Linked DNA regions of Arabidopsis thaliana. The protein of the gene in region 2 purifies or fractionates together with the protein of the main gene of each other region. This does not show direct contact. Each region holds a gene or a part of one and is shown on either strand. Other genes may lie near its edges.

Region 1 (5,102 bases), on a different chromosome or scaffold from region 2:
GGAGGCATAGCATTCCATATTAGAATTCAATAGGTATAGCTTTTGTTTGATCGTATAGAAGGAGGCAGAGCCTACCATATATAACGATCAATTCCGATAAAAGCATAACCTTTTATTTGATCATTAAGGAAGCATAGTCTACCATATATATAACGATCAATTCCGGAAAAGACATAGCTTTTTTATTTTATTTGATCGTGAAGGAGGCAGAGCCTACCACTTGTAACGATCAATCCGGAAAAAGGCATAGTCTTACGAATCACGATGTCTAAAATATTTCTATTCTATAAACATAAACGAATTAAATACCATAAATTTTACTTATCTCATAAACGCTCAAGCGGTAAAGACATCATGCTGATAACGTGTTATAAATCATAAGCAAAAAAAAAATATTATAAAAATAGAAATATGAGAGTGAGAGAGTAGACGAGAAAAAAAATAATTGTTTGCTTTTCATCTTATGTCTTATGATTAACAACGAACAACCATATATATACAAACAAAAGATTTGGTGATGAAGTTTTGTAGCTTGGAGAGAAAGACTTTTAATGGCTAAGTCTTATATAAATAAAATCAAAAACTAGATGGATAATCACTAATGATTATTGTTTATACCAATATGACATTAATGAAGCTCAAAAATTGAAATTTGCGTTTCACATTTGTCATTTGTTTGAACTAGGCAGCTCTAGGGAGTCAAGTGGTTCTGGACACAGAAAAAAAGGCGTTCTCTCTTATTTCTTATCTTCTCAACTTGTTAAAAACCAAAGGTTTTTAGTTGTCAAATTTACTTTAAATATCAATTTGTAAACATATTCTTCGATTACAAATATATAACTTTACCAAAATAGAAGAAACACACACAAAATCAGCCTACACTTGGAACAAATTCATTAGTGAAACGGAAACATATGTGTTACATGAAGCTTGCAGTCTTTGCTTCACAAGTGGTTTATCAGTACCTTCTATTGAAATGCTATTTTAAGTATGCAAAAAATTACAGAGAGAGTATCATCATCCTACCAGCAAGCGATCCCAATTGAAACCATGATCACTACAGCGGGTAACACTGAAAATGGAGATATGCTAGTTCTTGTATATACAGTCGCTGTTAACTCTTACTCTTAGGTGATTCACTTAGGCGGTTTTCAAGAATCAGCTATCATCTTAGGTGATTCGTCTACTGCTTGTTCTTCCTTGTTTCTTGTTGCGTCTTCTTCCACTGGGATCGCATTGCAGTGGATCGTGTGTGACACTGGTTTCTCTAGCTGGAACAGCCTTCAATTTCCACAAGAACAAGGTTAACAAACTAACGGATCATAAGCTTACTTATAAAGCAGTGACTCGTGTTTGGTAATTAGCATTCAAGATGAAACATATAGTTACACTAGTGTTTCCGTTACGACATGGTCTTTCAATGGAGCAGGAGTAAATTCACTTTGAAAACTGGTTTTCAAGTAAATGAGATTTTGCTTACGGATGCTTGCACAAGGTTGGGCACTGAACAGTCAGTGCGTACTTGCAAGTTGATAATTCAGTGATTGAAGTGACCATTGCCCTTGTTTCTGCGCATACAAACCTCACCTGCATAGAGCAATTTCAAGCATAATGAATCATAATTCAATGAGCCCAAATGCAATGTAGTAAACTAGATTACATACCTCGACTTCGCGAGGTGATCCTGTAAGATCACAGGTGGTCCCATTGGTGTATACATGAGAGTGATACCTGCAACCACACCACCATAACAGATTAGCTGAGATATATCTTTCTGCTGCTATAAAGGTTATGTAAAACCTCAGCTTATACCTCTGAGATGCATCAGTTGAAGCATCAGAAACAGTTTGATTAAACGCCGCAGTTGCCTCTGGGTCAAAAGTACCCAAAAAAAACTCTTGAACAATCTGCAGTGGCAGGATACAAGGGCCATACCATTAGATTGTGATTCAATGAAGGATTAAAGAAGAGTAAGAAAAGAGAACCAATAAAAGCCAACCTTGTTTTCATCCTCAACGTGTAGCTGCCGCACATACTTCTGATGACAAAACTCATAAGACCACCAACCCTCTTGCTGCTCAAATCCAGGGAGGGATTAGTTTCAAGAATTTGTTAAATAGGGTCAAAAGAAACCATTTTTGAAATGCTTACCCTAAAAAGACATTTTTCACTAAGTGGTTGAAGCAATTCATCAGGAGTCTTTAGCTTCACCAGTTGCTGTGTTTCCATCATCACAGTACTAATATTTTGCTGACTAGAAGTCCATCCACTCGTCGCTTTTTCCTCTTTCGGTAAGTAACATAAAAACCGATTTCCATGCTTATCCAACATAACCATTGATTCCAGATTATCACCCTATAAAAGCCAATATTAGCGAACCAAAACGCCAAAATCATAGAGGGATCTCTATGTTACAACTATCTCTACTCAATGTAACTCATGTCAAAGTGAAAAATAAGCTTTAAATCAATAGCTTGTGATAAAAAAAAAAGCCAACACTTATCGACCATAACAATAGATTCCAGATTCTCACCCTATACAAAACAATACTAGAGAATCTAAACACCAAAACCACAGAGGATCTCTAACTTAAAACTATCTCTACTCATTGTAACTTAAGATCAAAGTGCAAAATAAGTTTCAAAACTACTATACTCTTATCCATCGTAACCACAGATTCCAGATTACCACCATATAAACAACAATATTAGAGAATAAAAAACACCAAAACAACGGAGGATCTCTATGTTACAACTATCACTAATCATTGTAACTCAGGTCACATGGCAAAAATAAGCTTCAAATCAATCTAAATTGTGATTTAAAAAAGCTAATCTAATCCACCATAACCATAGATTCCAGATTCTAACCCTGTTAGTGACAATCTCTATGTTACAACTATCTCTACTCATAGTAAATCATGTCATAGAGAAAACGTAAGCTTCAAATCTATCTAAAGTGTGACTAATAACAATATTAGAGATCAAACACCAAAATCACAGAGAATCTCTACTATTAATATTCAATTAGTGCAAAAATTAAGCTTTTTGAAATCTATCTTAAGATTGCGTTATTACCGGGTGAAAAGGTGAATCTTCAGGAAGGAACTCAATCTTGTACTTTGGTTCACGATTGTTTCTGCTGAATGTTCCAACTATACATAAAACATTGAATCAAGACAAAACTCGAAATTGATCGGAAAATTATGAGAAGAGAGGAAATGATATAGACCTAGATGAGCTGGGAAGATCTGATCGGACCAGACATGGGAGCTTGAAGACAATGCCACTATTACCAGACATAACAAGATCTGCGTGATTCTCATCTTCTAACCGGTACGAAAAATGTGAGATTGTGAAGGAGAATAGCACCGGACGGTAACAGGCGACGGCGATGTAGACGATGAGGTCGCTCGTCGAGTGTTATTAGCTGCGGTGATGTGACTAATAAGACGGCCACGCAGGACATCCAATTAAAATTCGACACGTAATGTTATAACTCAACAAATCTAATTATCGTGTTACAGTGTCGGGAAAAATTTCATCAAAACCAGGTTTCGTTCAAACCGGTTATCCAATTCATCAAAACTTAAAAGTGGATTTATTTTCTTATTACACTTCTAGAAACAAAAATCAAATGGAAACTATAAAAAAATTCTTTCGAAAATGCAACAATTTTATATAAATGATTTGTAATTTTTTTTTTTTAACGTCTACTTTTATTGATGAAAAATCATATCTAACATAAACAAGAAAAAAATAAGAAGAACTTACAAAAAACCAACTAAGGTTGAAGCAATTTAAAGTTTTAACTTAGTTTTTTCATTGATTTAAATTTCAAACCAATTATGAGTAAAAGTTTAAAGCGAAAGTGCGAAAACGATTTTCCCACGGCTTATTTTATCGTATTTATAAACAAAAGTTTCCATTATGCCTAAACTTACATTAACTAAGTCAGAATTTAAATATTTTTCGTTGTAAATATAGTTTATCAGCTATATTTACAATCTCAAATATATAGCATTATCTACACCCTCATGGTCCTTCCATTGACTGGCAGTCAGGCCCGGCCCATGACATATTTCTAAGAAACATGGGTATTGAGCCACCAAAAGTTTTAAGGTTTTTAGTATCAAAATTATACCTCAAAAATATTTGTTGCCTCATTTTCTAAATTTTTTAGATTTAGTCTCAATTTTTAATTTTTATCTATTTTCTATTGAATACATAGGTTTCATTTTCATAACATTTTAAGATTTGGTCTCAAAAAAAAAAAATTCTTCTATAAACCCATAAAAAAAAAGTTATTTTGAGCCTCATTTTTCACAAGACAGGCACTGCTGGCAGCCTGGCAGCAAATAATTTGGTTCAAATGAAGGATTTCCAAGTATGCCTTTATAGCTTCGGTGACAACTAGACAACGACTTCACCAAAGAGATGGAATTTTGCTATGGGATCTTCAAGTTCCTTACCTTTAATGCAAATTTAACGATGAAACCTCGCAACACATTCTTTGAGTGCACATTCTCTAGTGAAGTATGATCTTAATTCATTTCTAAGGCCCATATTGATCCTCCAAAACTGTTTGTGGATACTGAATAGAGTTACATGGATAAAAGACCTCTGCCAAAACAAAAATGTGACAGTCGAGAAAATAAAATCCAATGAGGTCTTTTAATATTAAATGTTTTTAGGCTTTAGCTATGCCGTTACTATATTCACAAATCAAAATTGGTCCAAAATTTTCATATTATCCTTTTAACTTTATAATCTTAACTAATTTAATAAATTACTATAAATATTATTTTTCCTACCCTAAATATGTCCCCCCTTGCTCACAAAGTCAAAAGACTCATTAATATTTAACGTGAAACAAAATTGAACCTCATTTTAATTGGAAATTCAAATATTCCTAAAATAGTAAAGAATTTCAACTTCTCCTCCGAAGTTTTGGTTAAACAGTTCATTTCAAGAAAAAATAATAAATGAAAATCAACCAAATATCTCGTCGATCACTTGTTTTCTGTTTTGTTTTTCTTTCCTCTAATACAGATTTGATCTTTCTTTCAATGTCTTCCTTCTCTTTTGCATTCCTTTGTTGAT
Region 2 (7,406 bases):
ATCGACCTAGTATGCATTGGCAACTTTTGTAGAAGCTTGAAGGACTTGAGCTCTAGGGGAGGCACAGATGCATCTACTAACACATGTATGCTTCCTTGGCAATATAGTTTGCAGAAACCGTTGCTTGGGGTCAGTTATTTAAACAGTGACGGTAGTTCTCAGTCGACACCTCATGGTAGCAATGGGTTAGTTAAGAGAGGGGCAACATACATTGTCTCAGATGATCTTACTATTTGCGTAAAGAAGAAGTTTGATGTGAACTTGGACGATATTTTTGAGCATGAAATCAACATTGGCAAAACACATGTATATCTATATTACTATTCTTTCCTGATATTTTTTTTTGAATCTGACACTAATCCAGGCCATAGGTTTACTAAGAGCCTCATTCGTGACATCCACTGCCTTGACTACGGCTTTCGGGAGCTTTCTTTCAGAGAAACGACTCTAAAGCATCAATCACATGCCCTCTGTGGAGCAGATTGATTTGAAGTTTAGGTTTTGTTGTCTACAGTGCTAGTTGAACAAGTTACCTTCTCTTTTACACTACTGTTAAGTACAACCTTTTGTTCTTGAATTTTAATGTCTTTTGATTCAAAAAATGTTTATCCTTTTCAGAAAATAGAATCTAAATACATGATCAGGTTGGTGAATAATGTTTGAGCCGGTAATGGGATTGGGGTTACATAATGATGATCCCATAGCTCATTTCATACAGCCAACAACATACATAAAGTGTTATTATAATACAAAAGAAATACTTTCATTCATCAAAGGACAAAGAACAAGAATCTGACAATAAACTATTGCTTCTGCGTCTTAGTCCAAGGTTGTGTATCTTAGATCATATGTTGAAGATCTTGGACTATTTCTGATATCGGCGGTCTAAATCCTGGTTCCATCTACAGACAAAGATAAGCATGCACAGAAGTCAAAAGGGTTAGTTAATATTCTGATGTCACGTGTTTGACATTGCTTTCTCATCTAGTTAAGTGATGAATGAAGTTAAGTTTACCTGCAGTGAACGTGATATGATATCTGCAAAACGTGACAATGATTTCATTGGATACGCTCCGTGTAATGACGGATCAACCATTCTTGTCAACGCATCGATGTCATGAAGCCGAGGAATCGCCCACTGAGCTAGTGTTTGATGTCCCCTCGGCCTTGTCCTGCAAAAAAAAACAGGGTTTTGTCTTGAGATAGTGTAGTACAGTGATTTTGCATAAGAAACATAAGTGAACATGTTGACTTTTGAGTTCAGACTCTTTTATGGCTTCTATTAGTTGTCTCTTTAGAGTAGCTAACCTGTCAAATGGTCTGCGTCCAGTGAGCAGTTCTAACATTACAACCCCAAGGCTAAATACGTCGCTCTGACAAGTGTAGCTTCCATACTCAACCTCAGGAGCGGCATAACCCGCCATCTACAATTTTATAAGCAAACATCATATCCTTTACAACACTCACTCTTATGTTTGGGATCTTCAAAATAAGATGACAAATTTACCTGACTCGTTGGGCGTGGTGGTAACATATAAGCCAAACCGCTGTCTGCAACACGTACTGAGAGCTTTCCATCAAGAAGAACCTTGGAAGACTTGAAATTCTGGTGAACAACCGGCGGTTGACATACCTCATGAAGAAACCTGAAACCAAACTCTAAGATCCTATATGTTCCAAATATAGATTGGCGTAACATGTTGAGGTTCTTTAACTTACTGCAATGCCTTTGAAGCTCCTAATGCAATATTTATACGTACATTCCAAGTGAGCTTCTTGTGCAACTTGCGATCCAAATGTAGTGCATCTTGAAGTGATCCATTAGGACAGTACTCATACACAAGTAACCTTTGACCAAACTCGTTACAGTAACCAAGAAGCTCCAATATATGACCGCGTTTAAGCTTCAACACATTGGAGACTAGATTGAGGAATTCGCCGTCACTCTGTGTTCTGTTGATGGTATTGCTCAGCTTCTTCACCGCAAGAAACTATAGATCACAACGTGTCAAGACGTAAATAAGAATGCACAGCATAAAATACTGTAAGACCAAATGACAAATAAGAGGAAAGTGTCACACCTTTCCATGACGAAGCTCAGCTCTGTAGACATTACCAATCGACCCTTCCCCGATTATATTCTCTTCTGAGAAATTATTTGTGTATTGCTGAAGTGAAGCAATGGTGAAAACAGTAGCAGAAGATGAGGAATTCAAGCCCGGGGGGAAATGAGCCGCTCTCTTTGAAGCAGTATCATTGGACTGGAACTGCCTCGGTGGTTGTTGCAGCGGCTTTTGAGGTGTATTAACATCCTTATTATAATATGAAGTAGGAGGCATTGCTCTCCGGCTCTCTTCAGCCCGCTGTGGCATTGGATACCCATATTTCCTGTCTCCAGCTCCATATCCATCGAAAGGCTTAACCATAGGCTCCCGAGAAACTGCAACAAAAGAAAACACCACAGCAGTTTGCCGTTAGGTAATGAGCCAAAGCACAAGTTTCTTTTCTTTTCTTGGAAGGAAAAGAATCAGTGTACCTTTTCCCATAGTGGGGGTTGGTTGAGATGGAGGCTTATTGAAGTATGGTCGTTGTAAATCTTTACGAGCTCCACTGTAATATCGGTTATATATTTTACTTCTGCAACATCTCCAAAGTGTAACACACAAACCGGATACAAGAACAATTATGGCCACTGAAGAAACTACTAGAATGATTCTTTGAGTGGACCAGAATTTTCCTGATCCTGAACCTGAAGGAGGTGATATTTGCAAGGTAGGTTGCCCTGACACAGAGTTCCAGGGATCTCCTCCTCCATTATCAGAAGAAGGTGGTGACCAGACCAGAGGTGGTGATGGTGGTGGATGTTGTTGTGGTTGCAGTGGAGCAAAAGGAGCAAAAGGTGCTGGGGGAACACCAGAAACAGGAGGGATACGGGGAACAGGAGGAGCACGGTGAGTAGCGGGAGGAGGATCAACCACAGGCGGAGGCGGTGGTGTTATAATCGATGTATTGAACGGAGTTCCATCTTTTCTGCGGTTATAATGACAATGTAACATGAATGGCTAAAGAAAAGGAAAAAAAAAACATTCAAGTTTTCTTTTAGTAATACTTACTTGAAGTTTGGAATTTTCAATAGATTTGGCGGTATAGGTCCCGAGAATAAGTTGTTTTCTACATTCCTGAATCAAAAATATGAAAAGCCATAGTGAGATACTGAAGTTGGCTTAATGGTTGGAGAGTCAAGAACAAAGAGTATGCAAGGTGAAAAACGATTACAAATCGGTTAAGAAAAGATCCTCTATAACATCAAGTGTTCCTGTGAGCTTGTTGTCCTGCAAATACCTACAGTCCGACCACATCACATATAAAAGCAATGATAACAATGTTTGTATACGGTTTCATATATGTGCACTTACAATATCTTAAGAGAAGCTAAGTCTCCCATGGAAGAAGGTAAATGCCCCTCCAGTATGTTAGACGATAAGTCCCTGCATTAGAAACTTAATGTATAAATGAAAGACGCTGATGGGAGGATACAAAATGAGACTTAGTGAGGAGGAAATATACAGTTTTGTCAGTTTTGATAGCTGCTGAAAGTAATCTGGTATCTCTCCTGATAGAAGATTGCTTCCCAATGACCTGAAGGGAAAAGAAAGAGTCTGCTTCAAACAGAGGAAAAACCGCAGATGCAAGAAACGGTATCTACATTAATAAAGACTTACAGTTCAGACAAATCGGATAGAAAGGACAATGTAAAGGGAATGTTCCCAGTGAAGCGATTGCTTGAGAGAGATCTGAAACAAGAAAATGAAACCAAACATGAAGTGTCTTTTAACTGTTGGAAACATAAGTATTGCCATACACATAGTCAATTCTCAAACGCACAGGTTTCGGATGGAAGAAGGCAAAGCCTGCGGAATTGTCCCTGAAATATGATTGCTACTGAAGTCCCTGTCCACTCAAACAAAGAAGAGAGAAAAAGTATCACAAAGCAATTCAAGATTATAACCAAACCTTATAGTCAATGGTAACAACATCTTGCATGTTCTTCACATAGCAAGAAGCCTCATACAAAAGATGAAGATGAAAGAAAACAAGACAAGAAGCTTTGCTTACATGACTTGGATAGATGAAAAATCAGCCAGAGTATCACTTAAGCCTCCACCTACCTTCATGCCAGGTATCCTTCTGCAGCCAACAACAATAATTCACGTGGTTAGAACCTGAATTGGTGACTCAAAGCAAACCATAACAAAGAGTTACAAGAGCAGAAGAGGAAGTATACATTTCTGTGATGTTTGAGGAGTCACACACCACACCTTGCCACTTTTCTCCACAAGGGTCTCCTCCAAAAGCAAGCCAATGATGTAGAGATGGTGCTCCCAAAGTGATATACAAGTTATTAATCGCCGAAACTGCAGAAGTTATTAAACAACAGACAAACACATCAAAAAGTAAAATTTCTAGAGATTAAAGAATCTTTCTTATGATAACCATTTAATGAAGAACAATAAGAACAAATTTCTTGGTCTTGAACTAAAACCCTAACAAGAGCTTATGTGTCAAAAACCTAAACTTTTTAGGGTTTTTGAGGTAGCCTCAAAATCATAGAACTTTGCCAATCTGGAGCTTCCCAAACAGCTATATTGCTTACCTAGTTTACCCTAAAACTGATGTAAGTCATTTTCACTAGACACAAGTCTAAAAAAAATCTAGAGTGTTCACTAAACCAAAAGAAGGAGAGTCAAAGCAAAATCCAAATAAAAAAAACTTTGCAGAGAAAGATTATTACCATCTCGTAGATTAGTAACTCCAGCTGAGAAAGGCATTGTCAAGGCTAAAACAGAGAGACCAAAGAACACTTCCCATCTTGTAAAGCTCATAACTTCAGCCACTGAAGATGAGAAAACCCTTGAACTTGGATTAGATTGTTTCTTTCCAATAAAAAACGAAGATTCAGAGGGAATGTTATGGAAAAAAAACACGAGGAAGAAGAAGAAGAAGAAGAAGAAGAAGGGTGAAACAGGGATATTCCTGATTAAAAGGTAAAGTGAATCATAATTTCGTCGGATTTTTAGGAGAGAGAGAAAGAAGAAAAGAGATGAAGAGTGAGTGAGAGAGAAAGAGTGTAGTGTGTTTTGTCTCGAAGAACGAGCGGCTTACAAAAGCCAACGGCTTTGTTTTTCTCAGTTTTAAGCCTTTAAGGTTTCGTCTCCAAAGTGTGAAACAGAGAAAACTTGCCAAGACTTGTCTCTCTTTATGTCTTTTAATTGTCGCTTCTATGCTTCATCTAATTACTATAGTTTCCTTTCATGTAATAATTGGATTTTTCTAATGCCATAAGGTAGAGAGATAGAAGTGAATATTATTTTGATGTAGATTACATATTCCGTTACTTCACCTATTAAAATCCAAATAATGTAACAGGCAGAGTTTATCACACTTATTTCAGTGAGATGGGCCAAGAAAACAGTTGAAGTAAGAAAAGCTCTGAGAATTCTTTAATGGAAGAAGAGAGTGAGAGACCCTACAACAAGGTCAAAAAAAATATCATCATATTCATCCCACGTCCATTTTTGCTCTTTTGGTGATAAAAATGTGTGAATTAGTTTTAGTAACAAACTAATAGCAACAAACTATTTGAGAAAACTAGTACTTTTACATGGTTTGGAAATTGATTTCAATTATACATCTTAGTGAATCCTAATATATGTTTTTAAACAATTAGAGCCAATAAAGGGTTTTTTCTTACGACTTTAAATTGAATATACTTAGTAATTATACAATAATTATCTTTTCAATATATTCTAAAAATAACTAACTAATGTTATATGTATGATTGCACGGTGCATTTTGGTTACCATTCGAAACCTTTGTTTTTCTATTAATAATTAAGAATTCTGGTTTTGTGTTTACAGTTACAACTAACAATCACTATTTATCAATTTCTTTGGAATATATTCTTAATTTGTATTATTCTTTGTTTGTTGGTTGATGTGATGGAGGATTTGTGTACAATTCAATAGTAGTAATTTAATGGAATGCCATCATTGCATAATTTGAGATGAGAGTAACTTCGATATTCATATGTGATTACTTCTCAAGTTCCTTTTTTGGTAGGAGTTACTTCTGAAGTTCTGATATTCACATAAATTATTTGCAACCCGAATAATAACAGCAAACATACATTGTATGATCAATAAAGAATAAAACATGCTTGGTGAGCTTATGTGTTGATATTAGATTTTTATTTTGTCGAGATCAATTAATTATCAATCGATTTTTTTGGCTTGTCAAAATCAATCAAGTTCACACCATACACGATAATAAGTTGCGACTAGTTAAAAAAAAAAAACCACATTCTTATGGGCTATTCAAACCAAATGTGGCCCAAACTTGGTCAATAGTGTAATGGTAAAGCCCACTTGAAAGAAGATACCTCTCGTAGGCCTAATAATGCAATGAGATTGCAACGGTTACTTTCAATCTTTGAAGAAAAGTAGAAAACTATCGTACATGATGCTTTTTTGCACCCAAAAAAAATCGTACATGATAACATTTTTTTTTTTCAAAACCAATATGCCAAGTGCCAACCATAATAAACCGAACCAAAATCAAATAAATAATACCGAATCAAATTTTTGTTTCGACCGAACTCGACCCAAAACTACACCAATCAGGTTGGATTCATTTTGATTCTTGTACTTCAAAAAATCAGAAACCCCATATAATAATGATTGTAGCACTTATACATGCATACCAAATTAGTTATGAGATTGGAAGATGCATGATAATGAATTCAAACTATTGGTCTCTTAAAAAAGAGTGTCGAGGAAAAAATACAGATATTGTAAAGTTAGGCTTTATTTTATAATATGGTCTCTCATTACGCAAAAGGCGAAACAAAATTAAAGAATGCAACACTACTTTATGGTCACCCGTTAGCCAGAGGATCCAAGGCACATAACGAATGTTTTATTTATTTAAATCAAATCTAGTTACGTATCTACACGAATTTTGGTTCAAGTTTTGGTTTTACATCACCCTAGCTTTTTCCGCCCTACCATTTTACATCAAGAAGCTTCAAAGAAAAAGTTCTATAGATTATGAAAAGTCAAAAAAAGAACTTAAAAGAATTTGTTAGACGATACTTGGATACAATTTGCTGTTATGCACTTGATCGTTTTGAAAATATTAAATTGATCAGAACTATTGAATTGTCTCGTTCCATTTTCATTTTCCAATATACACAAGTATGATACACTCAAACTTTCTAAATTAGTTTGAAGTATGATACAGAACTATTGAAGCCTGTTTTTTTTTCTCTCGGCGGAAATTATTCAACATTCATCCAATAAATTAGTTAACGTGTGATGTGGGGTGCAAAAGGACAAACAAGAAAGCGT

What was found.
Region 1: the proteins of SUB (region 2) and OS9 purify together in Arabidopsis thaliana (affinity purification with western blotting, with the first as the bait; one study listed by BioGRID). This does not show direct contact.

The regions. Positions count from the first base shown.
Region 1 is NC_003076.8:13,353,401-13,358,502, forward strand, and holds OS9 (ER lectin-like protein), read right to left. Parts: upstream 3,485-5,102; 5' UTR 3,326-3,484; coding exon 3,232-3,325; intron 3,155-3,231; coding exon 3,078-3,154; intron 2,356-3,077; coding exon 2,152-2,355; intron 2,075-2,151; coding exon 2,000-2,074; intron 1,908-1,999; coding exon 1,813-1,907; intron 1,732-1,812; coding exon 1,665-1,731; intron 1,588-1,664; coding exon 1,481-1,587; intron 1,282-1,480; coding exon 1,152-1,281; 3' UTR 756-1,151; downstream 1-755. UniProt on the Arabidopsis thaliana protein: Lectin which functions in endoplasmic reticulum (ER) quality control and ER-associated degradation (ERAD).
Region 2 is NC_003070.9:3,720,612-3,728,017, reverse strand, and holds SUB (Leucine-rich repeat protein kinase family protein), read right to left. Parts: upstream 5,311-7,406; 5' UTR 4,884-5,310; coding exon 4,793-4,883; intron 4,450-4,792; exon of another isoform or gene 4,416-4,449; coding exon 4,286-4,415; intron 4,189-4,285; coding exon 4,117-4,188; intron 3,952-4,116; coding exon 3,886-3,951; intron 3,795-3,885; coding exon 3,723-3,794; intron 3,640-3,722; coding exon 3,568-3,639; intron 3,489-3,567; coding exon 3,417-3,488; intron 3,343-3,416; coding exon 3,277-3,342; intron 3,180-3,276; coding exon 3,114-3,179; intron 3,031-3,113; coding exon 2,537-3,030; intron 2,441-2,536; coding exon 2,082-2,440; intron 1,992-2,081; coding exon 1,720-1,991; intron 1,647-1,719; coding exon 1,508-1,646; intron 1,425-1,507; coding exon 1,309-1,424; intron 1,173-1,308; coding exon 1,016-1,172; intron 903-1,015; coding exon 840-902; 3' UTR 568-839; downstream 1-567. Other genes in the region: AT1G11145 (hypothetical protein (DUF674)), read left to right, coding at 1-306, 382-486. UniProt on the Arabidopsis thaliana protein: Regulates the expression of transcription factors that define the cell fates.